Tribolium castaneum: one gene and its partner. The protein of the gene in region 1 binds, or shares a complex with, the protein of each later gene. Links are inferred from orthologs where the notes say so. Each region holds a gene or a part of one and is shown on either strand. Other genes may lie near its edges.

What was found.
Region 2: lilli (region 1) and CycT share a complex: the UniProt entries of both Drosophila melanogaster proteins name them as parts of the super elongation complex. The link is inferred for Tribolium castaneum from reciprocal best matches to the Drosophila melanogaster genes lilli and CycT.

Annotation. Positions count from the first base shown.
Region 1 is NC_087402.1:5,810,790-5,819,589, forward strand, and holds the end of lilli (AF4/FMR2 family member lilli), read right to left. Parts: intron 8,602-8,800; coding exon 8,568-8,601; intron 7,860-8,567; coding exon 7,782-7,859; intron 7,726-7,781; coding exon 5,587-7,725; intron 4,425-5,586; coding exon 4,212-4,424; intron 4,159-4,211; coding exon 4,090-4,158; intron 4,035-4,089; coding exon 3,935-4,034; intron 3,514-3,934; coding exon 3,189-3,513; intron 3,045-3,188; coding exon 2,935-3,044; 3' UTR 1,527-2,934; downstream 1-1,526. UniProt on the Drosophila melanogaster protein: Has a role in transcriptional regulation. Acts in parallel with the Ras/MAPK and the PI3K/PKB pathways in the control of cell identity and cellular growth.
Region 2 is NC_087396.1:19,992,065-20,001,307, forward strand, and holds the start of CycT (cyclin-T), read right to left. Parts: upstream 5,854-9,243; coding exon 5,705-5,853; intron 3,761-5,704; coding exon 3,548-3,760; intron 3,497-3,547; coding exon 3,329-3,496; intron 3,274-3,328; coding exon 2,988-3,273; intron 2,935-2,987; coding exon 2,859-2,934; intron 2,733-2,858; coding exon 2,018-2,732; intron 1,214-2,017; coding exon 1-1,213. Other genes in the region: dgt1 (KAT8 regulatory NSL complex subunit 2), read left to right, coding at 6,232-6,266, 6,566-7,068, 7,122-7,293, 7,341-7,504, 7,562-7,698, 7,748-7,870, 7,920-8,063, 8,906-9,243. UniProt on the Drosophila melanogaster protein: Regulatory subunit of the cyclin-dependent kinase pair (CDK9/cyclin T) complex, also called positive transcription elongation factor B (P-TEFb), which is proposed to facilitate the transition from abortive to production elongation by phosphorylating the CTD (carboxy-terminal domain) of the large subunit of RNA polymerase II (RNAP II).

The DNA of each region.
Region 1 (8,800 bases):
CAAGGGAGCAAAAAATGGCACAAAAAATTTCCGAGGGAGCAAAAAATGGCATAAAAAATATTTGGGGGAGCAAAAAATGGCACAAAAAATTTCCGAGGGAGCAAAAAATGGCACAAAAAATTTCCGAGGGAGCAAAAAATGGCACAAAAAAAATTCGAGGGAGCAAAAAATGGCACAAGAAATATTTGGGGGAGCAAAAAAATGGCACAAAAAATATCTGGGGGAGCAAAAAATGGCACAAAAAATTTCCAAGGGAGCAAAAAATGGCACAAAAAATTACCGAGGGAGCAAAAAATGGCATAAAAAATATTTGGGGGAGCAAAAAATGGCACAAAAAATTTCCGAGGGAGCAAAAAATGGCACAAAAAATATCTGGGGGAGCAAAAAATGGCACAAAAAATATATGGGGGAGCAAAAAATGGCACAAAAATTAGCTTGTGGGGACAAAAAATGTTTGCGGGTGTTTAATAAATAATCGTACACAATTTTAGTAAATGTTTATTTTCCTGAATTCACGTCTTTCGCATTTCGCGTCTTCTGTATTTTCTGTCTCGTCATTTCCCCTACGCACCAAAATCCATAAACTTGGAACGTAGTATCTACAGCTGTTCTGAAATAATGTCATCGCGGACCCTCTGTCCCTAAAATGAGTGATGATGAAGCCGAAACGTCCGATTCGTCGAGATACACTCACGAGCAGAAGATCGTAGCTGCAGTTTGGGTCCACGAGAAGGAGTACAATAACCAAACATGGAAAGATATTAACTCCAATTTCTTGGCGAGATTCAACACTGCACCTCCCAACAGGACGACGTTCTTGAGCTGGGAGAGGAAATTATTCAGTGTGGGAAACGTTGAGGATCGGGAAAAATGTGGAAGACCACTGTCAAGGCTTATGCACGTGCCGTACGTGAGAGCGTCCTTGAAAGAGGCTCCGGATTTATCGCTGAGGGAAAGGTCGAAGTTGTTGGGATTGCCCAGAACAACACTCTTGAAAATTATCAGAGATGACCTCAATATGGAGTTTGAGGTGGAGGAGGACGGAACCTCCAACTTGAAGAGGAGGCATGCGCCCTATGGTGGAGGGAAGTGGAAGAAGAAGGCCACCGCGGAGGCGCAGGGCACGTGCAAGGGGGAGGAAGCGGCCTCACGGCAACAAAATGAGAATTGTGATTAAAGATTTTGTATTTTTTTTTGTTTTGTAAATAGAGTAATAATAAATGTTATATTTAAATCATTTTCAGTGCAATGGGATAATTACGGACAGTTAGGTTTGTACGGAAGAAATTTGTATGCTGTAATAATATATTTGAAAAAAAAGTTGGGTCCTTTTGTTACACATCACCTCAAAAGTATAACTGATGTTAAATTTTTATGTATAAATATGTACAAGGTACTGATGTATTCATTTTATTTATGATCTAGACAAGGTCACTTTAAGTTTACTTTGGAGTTCTATGAGTTCATATTTCTATTGCAACTGTAACAGACCAAGTTTGGTTACATGAAACAATAAAAAACGAAAATAAATATAAAATAAATTAATATATTTCAAACAAAAAAAAAGAGAAAAAAACAATCATTCTGTCAGTCGATATGTCCAGATTGTGATAACATGGTCAAAATGCAGAGGCCAAATTTCGTTAAAAGAATAAATAACTAATTTACATAAAAACCAATTTCACTAAAACAGCAACATTTAAACGCAAATAAAAAACAAAAAATCAACTGAATGGAAGGCAAAAATTGAGATTTACGAATTAATATCAAAAATTGTGATCTATGCCAATCGTATACACATTCAGAGATTTTTCTTCCATTGGTCCCAAACAGCCAAATTTACCATTTCTGACCATAATGATACGGCAAAACAATTAAGAGAAGATAAATAATTAAAAAAGAAACAACCTTTTCTGCATAACCTGCCGCCAAGGACATCTGATTGAATAAATCTCCGCGTTTTGTTTCAAATTTCGACCTTTGATTCGAGAGATCATCAGAAAAGATTGCAATAAATATAGCACCACATAAATCAACAATGTGCAAAGGGAGTTTCAAGTTTGTAACCAAACTTTGTTCTGCACATTTAAGTAAATTTTCACTACAATTCAGTATCGTAAAACGTGTTAAAGTTTTGAGATCAACCTTCAGCTTTGATAAAACTGGATGAGTAGGAGTTTGAGGAAAAAAAGTCACGTCATAGTGAAACTTTACTTAGTGATGAGTGCTAATACGTCGATCACTCTGGAAGAAAACTAAGCTTTAAGATTTTCTGCCAGCATTGATAAATAATGCAACAACAATTATAGGTACAAAATTATACATATCAATTTGATTTTGTTTTGTAAATGGCCTTAATGAAAATACTTACGATACAAATAAAATAATTTAAAATTTATAAAATATGATACAAGATTTACATACATGTTACATATGCACACTTAGCCTACAATATATATGCAAAAATAACAATGACTAATATTTATTAATTTAACATCCACAACCACGTGAGATGCAAAGTTTGATTCACTAGGCCTCTAGATTAGCGTTGTACAAATATAGCAGATGTAGTAAATATATAACTTTAGCATACAGTATTTACAAAAAAATATACACTATGTACGTGGAATTTCCTATCATTGTAAAAATATTATTATAGTACTGCACCCTAAGTCAGTTAACTAGAAACGACATCAAAAGTCATATAATATGTAGGATCACTCAATTGTTCTAGTCAACATTAAACCAATCTAACCGGCAAATATGCCCTAAGTAAATGATTAAATAAGTCAACTCTACTCTAATATAATCTGTAGGTAAAATGTAAAAAGTGTATATTCTGTCCAAGTAACAAGCTGGTTCCATTGACATTGAAATTGACTCAGTGCTTCTTTGGCATACATTTATCTTATTTACAAACGTCATTGGTCAATTCTAACTCTCATTCAACCTTTTTATCCCTTCGCGAATGTACCTCACCAGGTCTATCAGCGAGCTGTGCATCGTCAGAGGCTTGCACAGCCTATCCAAGTCGATAAAGAAATCTGGAACGACAACACAACATGTACCCCACCTTCACCCAGCCAGGGTCGGATTATTGTTTGCAGGGCCCACATAAACCACCAACATAATCCGGGCCCCCTTGCCTCAACAATCCGACACTGCCCCCAACTCCCCGAGCCACCCACCTGTGTGTTTGCCCTTGATGACGAGCGCATCGGCCGTATCCCACAGATCCTGACAAGACAGAAGATATGTGAAATTCTGGTTCTGCTTGTACATGGCGTTGTAAATATTTTGAGGAATCCACACGTGAGCGCCCCCACTTTGTGCGTGCGTTGATGGAACAGGTGGCGGCACGTTGCTGCCCCTCGCCGCCAACTCACCACTGCTATAGCCGGACGACTGGCTGCCCACCGAACCCACAGAACCGGCAGGAGACGGCGTCGGTGACATGGGCGACGGTGTACCCTGGCCTTGCTGGGTCTGCTGCTCTGGGGGGATCGCAACGGCCTGAAACCACATTCCCACCCATTCATTTTTCCCCCTTTTGCATCATTTTCGTTGCGGAAAATTCAATGACAGCCAAATGTCAAATTTCGATTAGAGATGGGCACGTAACGTCGAAGATTTGGAACATTTAAATTTATTTTCTTTGCGTTTTTGCTCCAAAAACACCGGCACATGCGACGATTCAATATAATCTTTAAATGTGGTCATAAGATTGTTTTTTTATTGTTTAAATTGCGTAATTGTCAATTACTTTCCCACCTCTATTGAAAAGAGAGGGCACGTTTGGTGCCGATTTTTAAATGTTTTATTTGGGGCTTTGGAGGTCTTTTTGGCTAAAATAAACGTGCCTATTCTGTGGAGTTTTGATTCAATTTTCGTTTTTAATTGGCGTTTTGTTTCCGCAAGATTGTTAATTACTGACCTTGTTGTTGAAATATTCGCTGAGGACCTTCTGGTAGTCCTTCGCTTCGTGCTTCTTCATCTTGAATAGTTTATAATAAAGAAGCGCTTGGCACCGATAACTGCAAAAATCGTCAGTCAATACCGTAATTGGTAGGTGTGTTTATTTGAAATTACCTTAACACAGCGAGCTTGTTGTGCTTCGAAGACGCGTTATGTTGACTTCGAAATTTCGAAGTGATGTACCTAAAATGGTTACATGAGTCACCGCTTTCTCGTTAAATTATTAACGTAGTTACCTTATTAACGATAATGTGTCTTTATACATTGTGAAACAGGCGTTTTCTGTAACCCTTGTGAGTTCCATGGCGTTGCCCGTTAGTAAGAAGAAAAGTACAGCCTCCAGGTACAGCATACACTGTTTTGTTGTATCAGTCTCTTTATCAGCTAAGTGCTTCAAACGAGTCGCATCGCTCAGGTACTGACTTTGAGCTCTGCAAATCACATACGAACTGATATACGACAAACATTAATAGGTTTCACAGAAAAAAGCCACAAAAACTACAACGCAAACTAAACTAAACTAACCAACGGCCCAGTCGATCATTACACAATCAAGCCTATCACAGTTAAAAAATTAGCGAAAGACGCTATTACGAAGTGCGATTATATTCATTTTATTACACATTATCTAACAGTCTAGGCGATATATCTCCGTTCTGGAAACTCAATATTTTTCCTATATGTAAATGTAGTCTCAACAAATAAATCGAATAATAAAAACTAAACAAAATCCATTTCCTTACCTGTCGTAGCACTTTCGAAGTCGTGCTAGAATGTAATAGCTTTCTGTAGCTTAATATTCTATTCTAATTCTAATACGACAAAATGATTTTGTCCCTTTGTTATGGAAAGTTTTTTGTACCACTTTCTAAAAATTAAATTTTGGTAGTATCACATTTTTCACGAAATGTGAAGTGTTTCAATAAATTTCGCACTGATAACCGTTTTATCGTGAAAAATATCCTCGTAGTTTTGAATTTTTATTGGTGTAATATTTTTAGCAACTATGATAGTTGATTTGATGCCTTTTTAGCCCTTAAAAACCGACAATAATAAAACTTGATCAAGTTGTAAAAAGAGTTTCAATTATGCAATAAATGACAATCATTTTAATTAATATGAATGATTATGACAGGATATTTACGATCTTCTTAAATAAAAACCGGCCGCAAATTTATTAATTGCTAATTGCGCCTTTTAGTCATTAAATGTGAAATCACTTCAATTTCTAATCGGCGACTCTGCTTCGATTTTTTGTGCTGTGGTAGGAACGAACCTTATTTATGTCATTTGCACAATCTCCATTCCGCACAATTTAAATAAATCTTTTTTCGATGGCGAATTACATTGTCACCTCACCCTGTCGTAAATTAGATACGGCAAATAAACCAAATATAGAAATAGAAAACGATAAAGATCATTTCAGGACAGAATAAGACGTCATTTTTTCCTCTCGATACGTTCTTTACGACAGCTGAATACTGCCAGCGCTCACCGGAAAATATTGAATCAGATATATTCCTCGGAGGCCAAGTTGACCTAAATTCGAGCATCGCGGAATTTTAATCGTTGATCGACTGAACCGCCCAAATTCGTGCATTTTTTCCTTACCTCTCTTCGCACTCTAGGGGCTCGTCGGGCTTCTCAAAGTACGAATGATACTCCCTGGTACTTTGCGACTTGTTTTTGTCGACGGGCGAGATCACCTGCCGACTTCTGCTACCTTCCCGCTCGTGATTGGTCGGTGGTGCATTCGTCAGACTGATATTATCACTTTGTGATCTGGGATAGATTTCGTCGTCTTTTCGCCGTTTCATCTTGTGATTCTCCCGATCTTTGCGATGCTCCAGTTTCTTGCTACTGTGCGACAAGTTGCTGACCGTCGACAGCGACGAAATCGAGCTCGAACTGTTCCGCCGCTTTCGCTTCTTCGACTTGTGCTTCAATTCGGCCAAATCCGAATCCTTCTTCTTACTTTCGTTATCATTATCGCTCAGCTTCTTCTTCTCAAACTCCCGGAAGTAGGGATGTTTCAGCGCTTCGAGCTTGTTTTTGAGGCAAATCACAGCGTTCAAGTCGATGCGATTCAGACCGATTTTGACTTTCATCGAGATTTTCTCGTCATCGAGAGGCTCAGTCTTAATGAATTTGATTGGTTCGGCGCAAGGGGATGCTAGTGGAGGTTTGGCCTCCTTGTGGGGGATTGGTGATAGGAGAGTTGGGTTTGATATGGTCGGCATTGTTTCGTCTTCGACGGGCGAAACGCAGCGTTCGTTTCCGCCGTCGGCGAATATCACATTGACGCCCCCCTTGCCCTTGCCGCCTTTCCCGCCCTTGCCGCCGCCTTTGCCGCCCCCTTTGCCGCCCTCGGAGTCGCGCTTCGGAGTGAACAGCTTGCGTAGAGTGTCGCTCTTGTTTTTGTCTTTGATCGGTTTCGTCTCCTCGACTTTATTCACCGGGGATTTGGCTAGAATGTTCGTGTCGCTGTCCGAGGACCGGCTGCGACTCCTTGAACTCAGACTTCGTTGTAAGCGCTTGGAAGGGCCCGAATCGCTGTCGCTCGAATCGGTCGTTGTGGGAAGAGTTGCGGCGCTTTTGTGATGTGGGTTTGACGTTCTTCCTTTCCGCCGGAAGACCTCCTTCTTGGGGGAGTCGTTCTTCTTGGAGCTTTCCGACTCGCTCCTCTGTCTTGGTTTCAGTTTGTTCTTGTTCTTCTTGCCCCAATCGTCGTCCGAGTCGTTTTTGATGGCGGGCCTTTTGATTTTGTCCTCGAATGGTTTTGGGATTTTCTTTGGTGATTCGTACTTTCGGTACCGTGAGTCTGAGTCGGAGCTGCTCGAAGCGTCACGTTTCGAGATTGTTCTCCGTCGGACCGGCCTTTTGTCCACGTTGTCTTCTTCGTCGGAACTGCTCGGGTGTGAGGGTCGGGGTTTTGGTGGTCGTCCCCTTTTTCGCGGTTTCTTGTCGGATCCACTCACAGCCGGTTTGATTTTTCTGGGACGTCCGCGACTCTGTTTGGGTTTGACTAACTGTTCGGGCGATTTATGAGGCAAAGGTGATAGACGTTTTTTGATAATATTGGCACTGTTATTGTCCGAATCACTACACGAATCCACTGATTTAGTCCGAGGACTGGCACGTCGCACCGGTTTCGGTTTTTTCGTCCGTTCGGCATCGTCACTGTCACTTTCCGAATTTTTGGTAACTGATTGTATTATGGTATGTTTGCGTCTTTTCGTGCGTCTTTCCGTCACACTATCGTCCGAATCGGAGAAACTCGACAAGAGGGGCACCGTTGCCGAGGCCAGTGCCTCGGCAACCACACTGTCTAGATCTTTCGTCGAATCACTGGCGTCCGACTCTTCGGTAACTTTTTTCTTGTCGACGGCCAAAGGGAGCATGCTGGAGGTGAGCGGCGACGTTTGTACTTTCGGTGAGAGAACGGAGTCCGCTTTGGCGTTGTTCTGGTCGATGACCAAATACGAACCAAGGTTCCATCGCTTCTTGTCTTTTTCTTCGGGCGGAGGCGGCGAAGACGGTCCCGTTTCGGCAGGTACTACGTTTGATTTGCTCGGATTCGACGAAGTCACGTTGTCTTCGGCCGAATCGTCGCTGCTCGAGTCGCTCTCTGATCCCGAATCCGAGCCCGAATCGCTCGACGAAGACCCAGCCGGATCTGCCGGTTCCGGCGGATACTCCATCTTGGAGAAACTACCAACGGCCGGAGTCGCACCCAGCGGAGAAACCATCCTGCTCGAAACACACTTATGTTACTACAACACTCGACTATGACCTCAAACACTTACTTTTCTACTGGTAACTTGGAAGATTGCTTTTGATCGTCATCGCTGTCATCTGACAGATTTAGATCATCTCGTAAGTCACTGCAACAACAATACCCAATCAACACCTGTGCGCTAAGCCAAATGTCAAGGATGCAAAACTCGGGACTCATTCCGAAAGAATTAATTCGAACGATGGAATCGTTTGAATTGAGTGTTTAAAGTCGATGACGACGTTATCTGCCGGTGTATTTTTACGGTTTCTTATCTCTTCACATTCGTTCGTTCCGGCCACCCACATATTGCACGCGATGCGGTAAAAATTGTCGGTTTCAACGACGCCATGTTGAATATCACGTATACGACGTTAAAATATTACGCTCATCGCGACCGATAAACCGATCGATAGTCCAACCTGCACTTTTAATAACCAATTGTCCCTATTACCCTGCTAGTTTCTAATTTTGAGTAATAACTTTAAATTAGTGATTCGTCTGACGGGCGGCGCATTTTCAAAATTTCGCCGTTGGGAGCGAAACGGGCGAAGATCCCGTCGTCTCGTGTCCACACAATCGAGCAGGAATCTGTGTTTGTCGACTTCCCGACGATAAATCTATGAATTTATCGTCGGTAGCAAGACAATGGCCGATCACAAGCTACCATTTTCCTTCATAGCTTATAATCGAAGAGTCTGAGCTAAGTGGCATCTTGAGCACGCGAAGCTACCAGACAAGTTGCTACTAATGAGTCGCTGCTGATCGGTTAGTCGGACGGAGGCAATTAATGTGAAGGTGTTCGTTGCATACTTACGTTGACGGGCGTGGAGCTGCGACTTTTTCGCGTTCTGAAACAGAGAAAAGGCGAATTTAGTATTTTTCGTTTCGCATGATCGTTATTATAATAGTGAGCAGTAGCTGGCCACCTGTTAGCGAGCCGCGAACACCTGCAGTCAGGTGGTCTAATGAAGTGGATAGGAAACACAGAGTGTTATTATGTGGCGCGAACAAAGAGATTAACGTCGGGACGCTCCCGATGACTCGAAA
Region 2 (9,243 bases), on another chromosome or scaffold:
CGCGTATCCCCCATTATAATAATTGTACATCTGATTCTCGGCCGGATACATATACTGACCCACCCCCATATGCGGCGGATAATAGTACATGTTTTGCGTGTACATCGGCGGCGGCACGCTGTGATAGGTGGACGCGGGGGCGGCGGGGGGCGGAACGACCGCCCCCATCGCACTACTCTTACTATATTCGCTTACCTTATTATACGAATGTCTCCCGTTCTGTTTGGAGTCCTTGCTGCGGGAGAGCTTTGCAGGGGGGCCGCCGTCGGCCGGACTACTGCGATCCCGCTCCCGTTTCCGGCTTTTCTCGCTTTCCGGATTGCAGTTATTGATGATTTCGCGCGGGATCTTGATTTTGAGACCGATTGGTGGCGGCGCCGGCGCTGGATTCTCCTCAGTCTTTATCACGTCTTTCGGGATTTTTATCTTGATAGGGTTCGGCATTTGCTGGATCTTGTCTTTCTGGATCTTGATTTTGATTGGTTCGGCCGCCGGCTCGGCCACCTTCTCTTTGTGCTTGTGCTTCTCCCTGTCTTTATCTTTGTGTTTCTTCTTCTTCTCTTTCTCGTCTTTGCTCTTGTCCTTGTCTTTATGCTTGTGTTTCTCCTTGTTTTTCTTTTTACTCTTGTGGTGATGTTCTTTGACTTCGGCGGGTGGTTCGGTTTTCGGGGCTGTATTCGCGACCACTGGCAGATGAGGTACTGATGGTGCTTCTTTTAGTAAACTACTGATGAGCATCGGGTTTGTTTCGATGCCGTTAACGATCGGTTGAGAGGTCGATATGTTGTTATCAGAACACAAAGGTGGAATAATATCGGGGGGTTTCATTTCTTTGGAAAAACTAATCGGGGGTTCTTCACGTTTCACGTCCGTTATCGGAGTTATGATATCGGGAATTTGGTGAAGTTTATTGATTCCAATGGTGGAATCCCTCATCAAATTCTCAAAACCTTCAACTTGGTCTATTTTCTTTAAAACCGGCCGCAATTCCGGCTCAGAGCTAGTCGAATAATTCCTCGCTCTTTTACTAACATTTGTTGGTGATTCAAGAGGCGAAAGCATCGGTTCCGACTTTACTGGCAGAGGACTCGGCGATTTTTTCTCCGATTTGATTGGACTTTTTTCAGGCGAGAAAAGACTAGGTTTCTTGACGGGATTCAATTCCTCTTTCACCTTCTCTTCTTCCTTGACCACCTCCTCCTTAACGGGGACGCTAAAGGGTAGTAATAAGCGTTCAGTTATCAATTCGATTTAGTTTAATATAAAATGATAAATGGTCATCATTTTTGCACAGTAAAGTGAATAAAACACAAAAAGCAAGAAAATAACATCCCTAGATGACCGTAATCAAGCAAAAATTTGGGCCCAAAAAACAACAAAATGGAGAAATGAAGTAATCTGCATATTATTTTAGTAAGATCATATTTCAAAAATAGAGGAGATGGTATAACAATATTATCTTTTCAACGCCAGCCACTTTATTTACGTAATCCTTGCACAAAACAACATTGCACTATCGTTTGATTGAGAATGCCATTACAATTTTAATAAATTGTAGAAAACTTCTGAAAAAAGTCACATTCCTAGATAAAAAATATAGTATTATTTAAAGATAAACGCTGGTTTTTGTAAAATTTATTAATACATATTTGAGATACGATTGTACAATCACCATGTTTATTAACTTTGTTTCAAAATTTAAAAAAAAACAAATATTTTTTTGAAGATTGTATTTAAATTAAAATGAAATTAAACAAAAAATAAATGTAATTTTCTACTTAAAAAACAGACTGAAAATTGGCGGTTTTAATAAAAAAAAATGTATGTATAGAAACCCTTTCTGTATTTTGAGTGTTATAAAATTTTCTACAGTTCCAATAAAAAAAAATTGAAAATATATTGATACTTTGAAACTAAAATCTTTATGTATTTTGAATCTTTTTTTTTAACTTTTGTAAACTTCTATTACTTCTCTGTACATCCACTGTTTCAACTGATCAAAAATTCAATACCATACCTGACGCTGAAACTGCTGCTCCCGTTGTGGTGGTGCTGTTTGACCGGCGGCGGCTGCAACGGCTGCCCCACCCCCGGTTTGAGGACGGATTTCGATGTGTCTAAAGGCGATTTGACTTTTTGCGAGGTAGAGTTCATCGATTTACTTAAATAACCACTATTCCTATCATGTCCCGGCACACTATGCGGTCTTTTCACTTCACTTTCCGGCTTAACAAACGGCTTTTCGTCGTGCCTTCGAACCTGTTCATGTTTAACTGGAACTTTATTCGGAGGCGGCCGATTCTTATCACCGTTATAATAATTGTTCGTTTCCGCCGCCGCCGCCGCCGCCACATTCGGTTTTAGTAAATAATCGCGCGTTTTCGGAACGTCTTTTTCATTTTTGTTAAAGTCTTTGGTTGCTATCCCGAACGGGGAGTCCCTGGCGGCCTCTCGGAGGATGTCTCGGGGCTCGGTCCGGGCTGGGGGCGGGTGCGACGAAGACGGCCTCGAGTGCGGCTGCTTCAGCTTCGGGTCCACGGGGGGACGGTGGTGGCCGTGGGGCACCGCCGGCTTGGCGGCCCCCGGGGGCGGCGCTTTCATGCCGTGCTGTTGCTGGGCCAGTTTTTCCCGTTCTTTCTTCTCGCGATATTCGCGCTCGCGCTGCTGCTGGCTGGTGGTTGCCGACTCGTGAGGTCTGGAAGATCGGTGCTTGTGGGGGTCCGGTTCTGAACCTTTAAGAAAAAATTCACGTTGAAACGATCTTAAAACATGTGTTTAGGAACACAAATAACACTTATTTTTTTGTTCGTGAACATAATTTTAATTTAAAAAAATGAAAATTGGTTGTAATTTCTTACCTGTCTTACTCTCGTGTGTGCGATGCGGATGTTGGTCTTTCTGGTCCGAACTGACGATCTTTTTCGGATCAGTGTCCTGCAATAGGTCGGGTGCAATCAAAAGAACTCCGACCACAGGAAAATACTTACGAAAGGTGAATTGGTGATAGCGGCTGTGCAATTATGCATTCCGTTATCACCGATACTCATAATTTTCTCTTTGAGTCGTGACGGACAACTTTCAAAGATACTCAGAAACTCGGTGGTGAGTTGTTGGAGTAGTTCGGCGGTGACCGTTGGATCCACGTACAGAAACCACTCTTTCTTTTCGGTGGACAACGGTATTTCCCAACTCGACCATTTACACGCTAAATGTATGCAAAAGCAAGCTACTACAGTCGGTTTGTATTGGAGGCACATTGTGGTAAGATGCAAGCTAGAAAATTGCCAAAAATCATAATGGTGGGATCGATTTTTCGAAAAATCCCCACCTGTTGCTGGCCAAGAAATACGAACTCTGTGCTAAGTCCTTACTGGCACGAACGAGATGACAACATCTTACGACGTGGGTGTGTGGATGGTCGATTGCGACATCGAAACCCAACGTTTGGAGTAAGACTGTTTCGTTAAATACCAAGTCCTGAGACAGAGTTTGATACCTAAAAGTGGCAATTAATCAGAATTGTTTTTTGATTTGGGAAAAGTACTACCTTTCCGAATTTACATCGATATTTGTATCTCGGTTATTTCTGCACATGTTGGCAACTCTAATAACGTATTCTAATTTTCTAGGTTGTTCTTCTACTTTGGCGGCTAGAAACAATGCCGCCGCCGCCATCTGGTGCCAGGGGAATTGTGTGAAGGAGTGGAATACATAGAACCGATGCATGTACACGATGGCGGTGTTGATACATAATTGAGAACTGCTTTGGGTTAAGGAAATGGTCCAGAATAAATAATTCAAGGTTTTTGAATTCAATTAGAATAATGTAATTTAATGTTCAATAAATTCTACTCCATTTGTTCTCTTTTAAACGAAGCAGAGTGTACAGTGAATTTTCCCGAATGCCAAGTGATTATTATCAAAGGTTCAACTGAAACAGTATTGTATTTTTTTGTATGCATTTTTATTGGCAATTTTTTGTGTAAGTGAGAGGTTACTAGTGCTTTTGGCCTTTGGTTAAAATCATACCACGTAATTAACATTTTCGAAAATTAATAGGATACGAAATATCTACAGGAACTGAAAATCAAGAAATATTGGGAGAATTGTACACGTGAAGTAGGTAACTAATTATAGGTAAGTTATTTCTGTTTCTTAGTCCAAGCAATTGGATCACAGAGAAATTGCTAATAAAAATGCTAATAATACGCTCAAAAACAGCTAAAAGGCCACTTTGAGATTTGTAAGTCCGATTTTTTCAAGATTCCCACAATAAAAATTTAAACAGGTTTAAAATTCGCAATACTTTGCAAAAAATATAAACCCATATAAGACCAAATTAAGCTTTTTGGTGTTGAACAGTTGATCAATGCTTATCTCAAACCCCGTATTGCCAATCATTCCATAGTTAAACAATGAAATTTAGAAAAAATCCATGACGCAAAAATGTTTATATTCATCATCTGATAAAATAATTATCCGCGTAGCTTATCAGATAATTTCCCTGTATCGTTAAATCCTATTTCCAATTATTCGTACACTCAAATTCAAAATAAAACACTTAAATTCTTTATTACTTATTTATTTCCCTTGCCCCAAAACCAAAAATAATAAGTAGACTTTGGTAACTAAAATTTCCCCCAAAAATTATTTTTCTTTATAAATTTTCACGACCTTAGGCTCGTTTTTAAATATGTCCGAGCACGTAGCTAATTCTTAAAATAACCGCGGCTATTATTACGTACACCATTAAGTTTAGTGCATCATAAAAATTCGAAGTAAATAAATATTTACTTTATAATCATGTAGTGCTTATCAATAGCACAAATGTAATTTAAATTTGTAGCCACATTACTCGTCGACCCAGTTCGTTTCAGTAGACATTCAGGCAATGTCAGCAGTGGTCGGTTTTATTTTGATTAATCATAGTGTAAGGTTTATGTGGTAATATGAAAGAATTTGTGCGATTGTGTAATAAAAAACACTGATGTTGATTTTATTTTAAGTTAAATTTCTGACTTAGAAATAGAAAAAAACGTTCAAACGTCCACTGACATGAAATGCTCTAAAATTTTTAAAAAGTAAATAAAAATCAATTTATTATTAAAAATCCATAAGAGCATAAGATAGTGCGTTTGTATGAACATAATAAAAAAAACTTAACACAACCATACTCAAAACAAGTTGAAACAAAAAGGAAAAGTTTCAAGATCAAATCAATTGAAAATAAAGTTGCAAGAAATATAAACATCTTTTAATAAGAAATTGATTTTATTTTTTACTCTTGTGAAAGATTACAATTATTTTACATCATACAAATCGCAAATGAAATTGTTGCATAAGAATGACAAAACTACTACAAAAATTGAAAAATTGCTTCAAAGAGAAAATAAAAAAATGAATAAAACCGCTGACCTACAACAAACGTAGAGAAGAGTTAAATAATAAATTTTCTGGAAAAGAATACGTTGAAATAATCCTGAAAAGCATAAAAATAACGGTGCGTTTAACACACGTGTCGTGTGAACGCCGCTTTATCGCATTTGCATGAAACGTCAAATATGCGCAGTAGAGGGGGCTATCTACGTCACTTACGAAACATGGCGCAATAGCTCCACAATGACCTAAAACAAGGGTCGTGGGGCGCCAGGGGGCTGAAATTCGCGCTATCTACGTGTTAAATGCAAGCATGCGGCAAGGATACACTTTGAGCCTCTGTCCCATGTCCTGGATGAAATTGGCAGTCTGCTGCCTGTAGGACAGCTCCTTGTAGCTATCATATCCGCATTTCCTCGAGGGCGTAGCGTCCAATTGCTCTTTCGTGAAGTACCATCTATCGCTGTTATTAGCCATTTACTGCACTCGACACGACTCGCGATAACAGCAAGGCAAGTGTCGCTACGGCTCGAAATCAGGCTATTCCAGGTCATTTGCTGGTCTTATTGGGGCAAATGGGGGCGCATTGTCGCGAAATTTAGTCACATTAACTACACTTTTGTCCAGAAAATCGGCTTCAAGGGTTTCCGTTGCGTCACTACGATGTGGGTTTTCCTAGAAGTGGCACTGGTGCAAATCGGGTCGGCTTTTCACGGGCAAATCTCCGGTTGCAAGTCTCGAATTGATCACGAATTATTACTTAAAGTTTACTAAACGCTTTTGGAAAGTTTTTCGCGCGAAAGAGGTAGTTCTTTAACAAATTAAAATATACATACACAAAGTTGTTGGAATTTGATGTTATTTCACTCAGAGATGGCCGACCAACCGCGGTAAGCAAGCCCACGACTTCCACAAAACAAACACCAAAACCACCCACACACTCGAAAACCGCAACACTCCCGAAAAAACGCAAATTATCCCTAAACTAATCCCTGAAATTATCACAGAAATCCACTAAGGCCCTTAGATCCACAAACGCACAACAAGCATGGCTTTGAGTAAAGATGTCGGCTGTCGATTTCCGCTCGGCTGCTCATTGGCTGCCACCGTTCGAAATATACCGCCAAACAAACATAACCTTGTCAATAACAAAGCCAGACGCGCAAAACTAAACTTTCACTATTTTCAGGATGCAGTTTCCGGAAAAACAACTCAAAACCAACCATGCCCCTTCAACGACTGCAGAAAAAGACGTCGCCGCCCTCAAAGCCGAGCTAGAAATCGAGCTCAAGAACAAAAAGCAATGCACATACAAACCGTACGAATGCACCCAACTCACCCTCGACGGGTTCAATTACTGCCTCAAACACATCCTCCAAGACAAGGCAGCCCCCTACAGACAGTGCTCGTACATTTACGCCAGTAACGGGAAACGCTGCCAGCTGGCAGCCCCCAAAATCGAAAAGAAAGACTGCGGCTACTGTAACGATCACGCAGTTAAAGTCACACTTGAGAAAAACAGGCAGAACTCGAGGCTTCAGCCGCCACAAACCGCAGAAGTCCTGATATATTCGTTGGGACATTACTTGAAGAAGCCCAGAAATCGGGCAACTTCTGGTAGTGGAGAGGAGGCAGAGAGGGCCCTTCTGGAGGAGGCTGAAGCCAAGAGCACCAAGTGCTTGGACCCGTTCCGTAAGCCACCCTTTTTTTCAAATTAATTTTCCAAATACAAATTAATGTGTTAGGTGATATTGACGCCAATGCCTTGTATAACTCCACTTGTAACAACGTTTTGGACTTCTGTAGTGAGTCTGATAGCGATGTTGAGGCTTCAACGTTCGCGTCAGTGTGGCATGATGCACAGAATGACAGTTCCGATAACGAAAGTGTTGATTCAGACCAGGAGGACGTTTTAAAGTGAGGTGGCAATTTTTTATTTTTGAGACTAATTTTTGTATTTGAAGGCACGCGAATGTGTACACAGCTGAAGAAATCAGTTCAATTACGAGAGAAAAGTTAATCAAGCTTCAGTCGTTATACATTGAGCAATATCGTCATTTGCAGCATGTCTTTAAGGAATGCAAAAGAAAATATGTTTATAATTTAAGGAGGGAAAAGGAAACTTGCTGTGAGATTACATCACAATAATTACGTCCAGTTCATTTGAATTCGTTTCGTTTTTTAGGCAATATTTATAACCAGATCCGTGAAAATCCCAAAGAACAGCGGCTTTACAAAAAACTCAAAGCGCTAAATAAGTACCACAAACCGCACGGAGTTGAAGCGATACTTCATAAAAGAGAGCATGATTCACGCGCTAAGGTTCATATTCGAATTATTTACATTTTTTTTTTATTAAAAATAAAATTAGATTACAGATGGCATGTTCTCCAAAGCGCCAGGTTACTCGCGGTGTTTGTTTACAGAAGGTGGGGTCAAGTGTGGGGAGAGAACTCTGCCTCTGGCTAGACATTGCAGGAAACATATTTTAGAAGTAATTTATTTTATTACTGTAATGTTTCATTTAAGTGTTGAAATTGTAGGATCAAAATCAAGTATTATTCAGGCCGTGCGGTAAGAAGAGAGCGGATGTAGAATGTAAAACACCAGTTGAGGCGATTTTTGAGGACAGTTGCTGCAACTTGCATATGGACATACCTCCAATTAAATCATATGCGCAATTAAGGGTACGGTGTTATTAAAAACAAAAAAATACGTAACTATTTTGCCACTATTTATGACTAATTGTTTCTAAACAGCTTAAAAGGAGCTAAAATTATTTATTTTTTATCACCACCACTGAAAATGTAATTTTAGTTAAAAATTACAAAATTGATAAATATTTTCTATTGAAAAAAATGCTTCATAGCAGAATTCGTCCCATGTTTGCTATTTCTGAAGATTAAATGTTTCTTAATCACGTGGTTAATTTTATGAAGGAAAAAACCGGTGTTTGGTTTCTTATTCTTTTAAGTTATGAACTATTTAGTAAATTTGTTTGATTAATAAAGATTTATTTTTTAATAATAGATGGCTGGCATATCATTAAAATAGTATTAGGTATTCGTTAAAATTATACAGGCGGTGCTAATGTGAAATACATAATAACTAATAAGAAATAAAAATACTTCTCTTACTTAAACTTTCAATGGAGTGTTATTAATTTGATGCATAACACATTTATGACGAAATACTTATTTTTATGAAAATTGAATAAATGAAAAAAGGAGAATTAAAAAATAAAACAAGCAACACTGATTAAACTTGATGGGAAAAAAACAAAGAACATAACAAAATGGTAACAAAGGCATGTTTATGACAAAAAAATATAAAATATACTGAATTAATGACACAAGTTATTTCAGAAATATTTAAAACAGAATCAGAAAAAAATTAAAAAATCTTTGAAAGAATTTAGGACTTGAAATTCATTAAAATAGTGGGTACTTTATGCCAAAAAAACTGGCTAGAAACCAAAAATAGCCAATTTCGGCAGATTATAATTTTTAATATTTTTTTTTTTATTTAGAAAAATTCTGAATCCGACTTTGAGGATTCCTTTGAATCTCCCGAAAACATGTTGATGGAAGCGGTGTCAGAGTCCGACAACGTGAAGACAGAATTTATAGACTACGGCCCCAACTTGGAAGAAATGAAGACCTTGCCGTCTGTTTTATTTGAAGAGTCCAGCATGGACGCTAGTATTAAAAACGAAGACACGGAGAACGAAAAACCGGATGAAGATGTACAAATCGACGTAGACGACGAACCTAGTCCCGAAGGAAAACTAGAAATTGATATACCTGAAGAAGATACCAATGATATTAGAATCGAAGATAAGATGGAAGAAGACAGTTCGCAGGATAA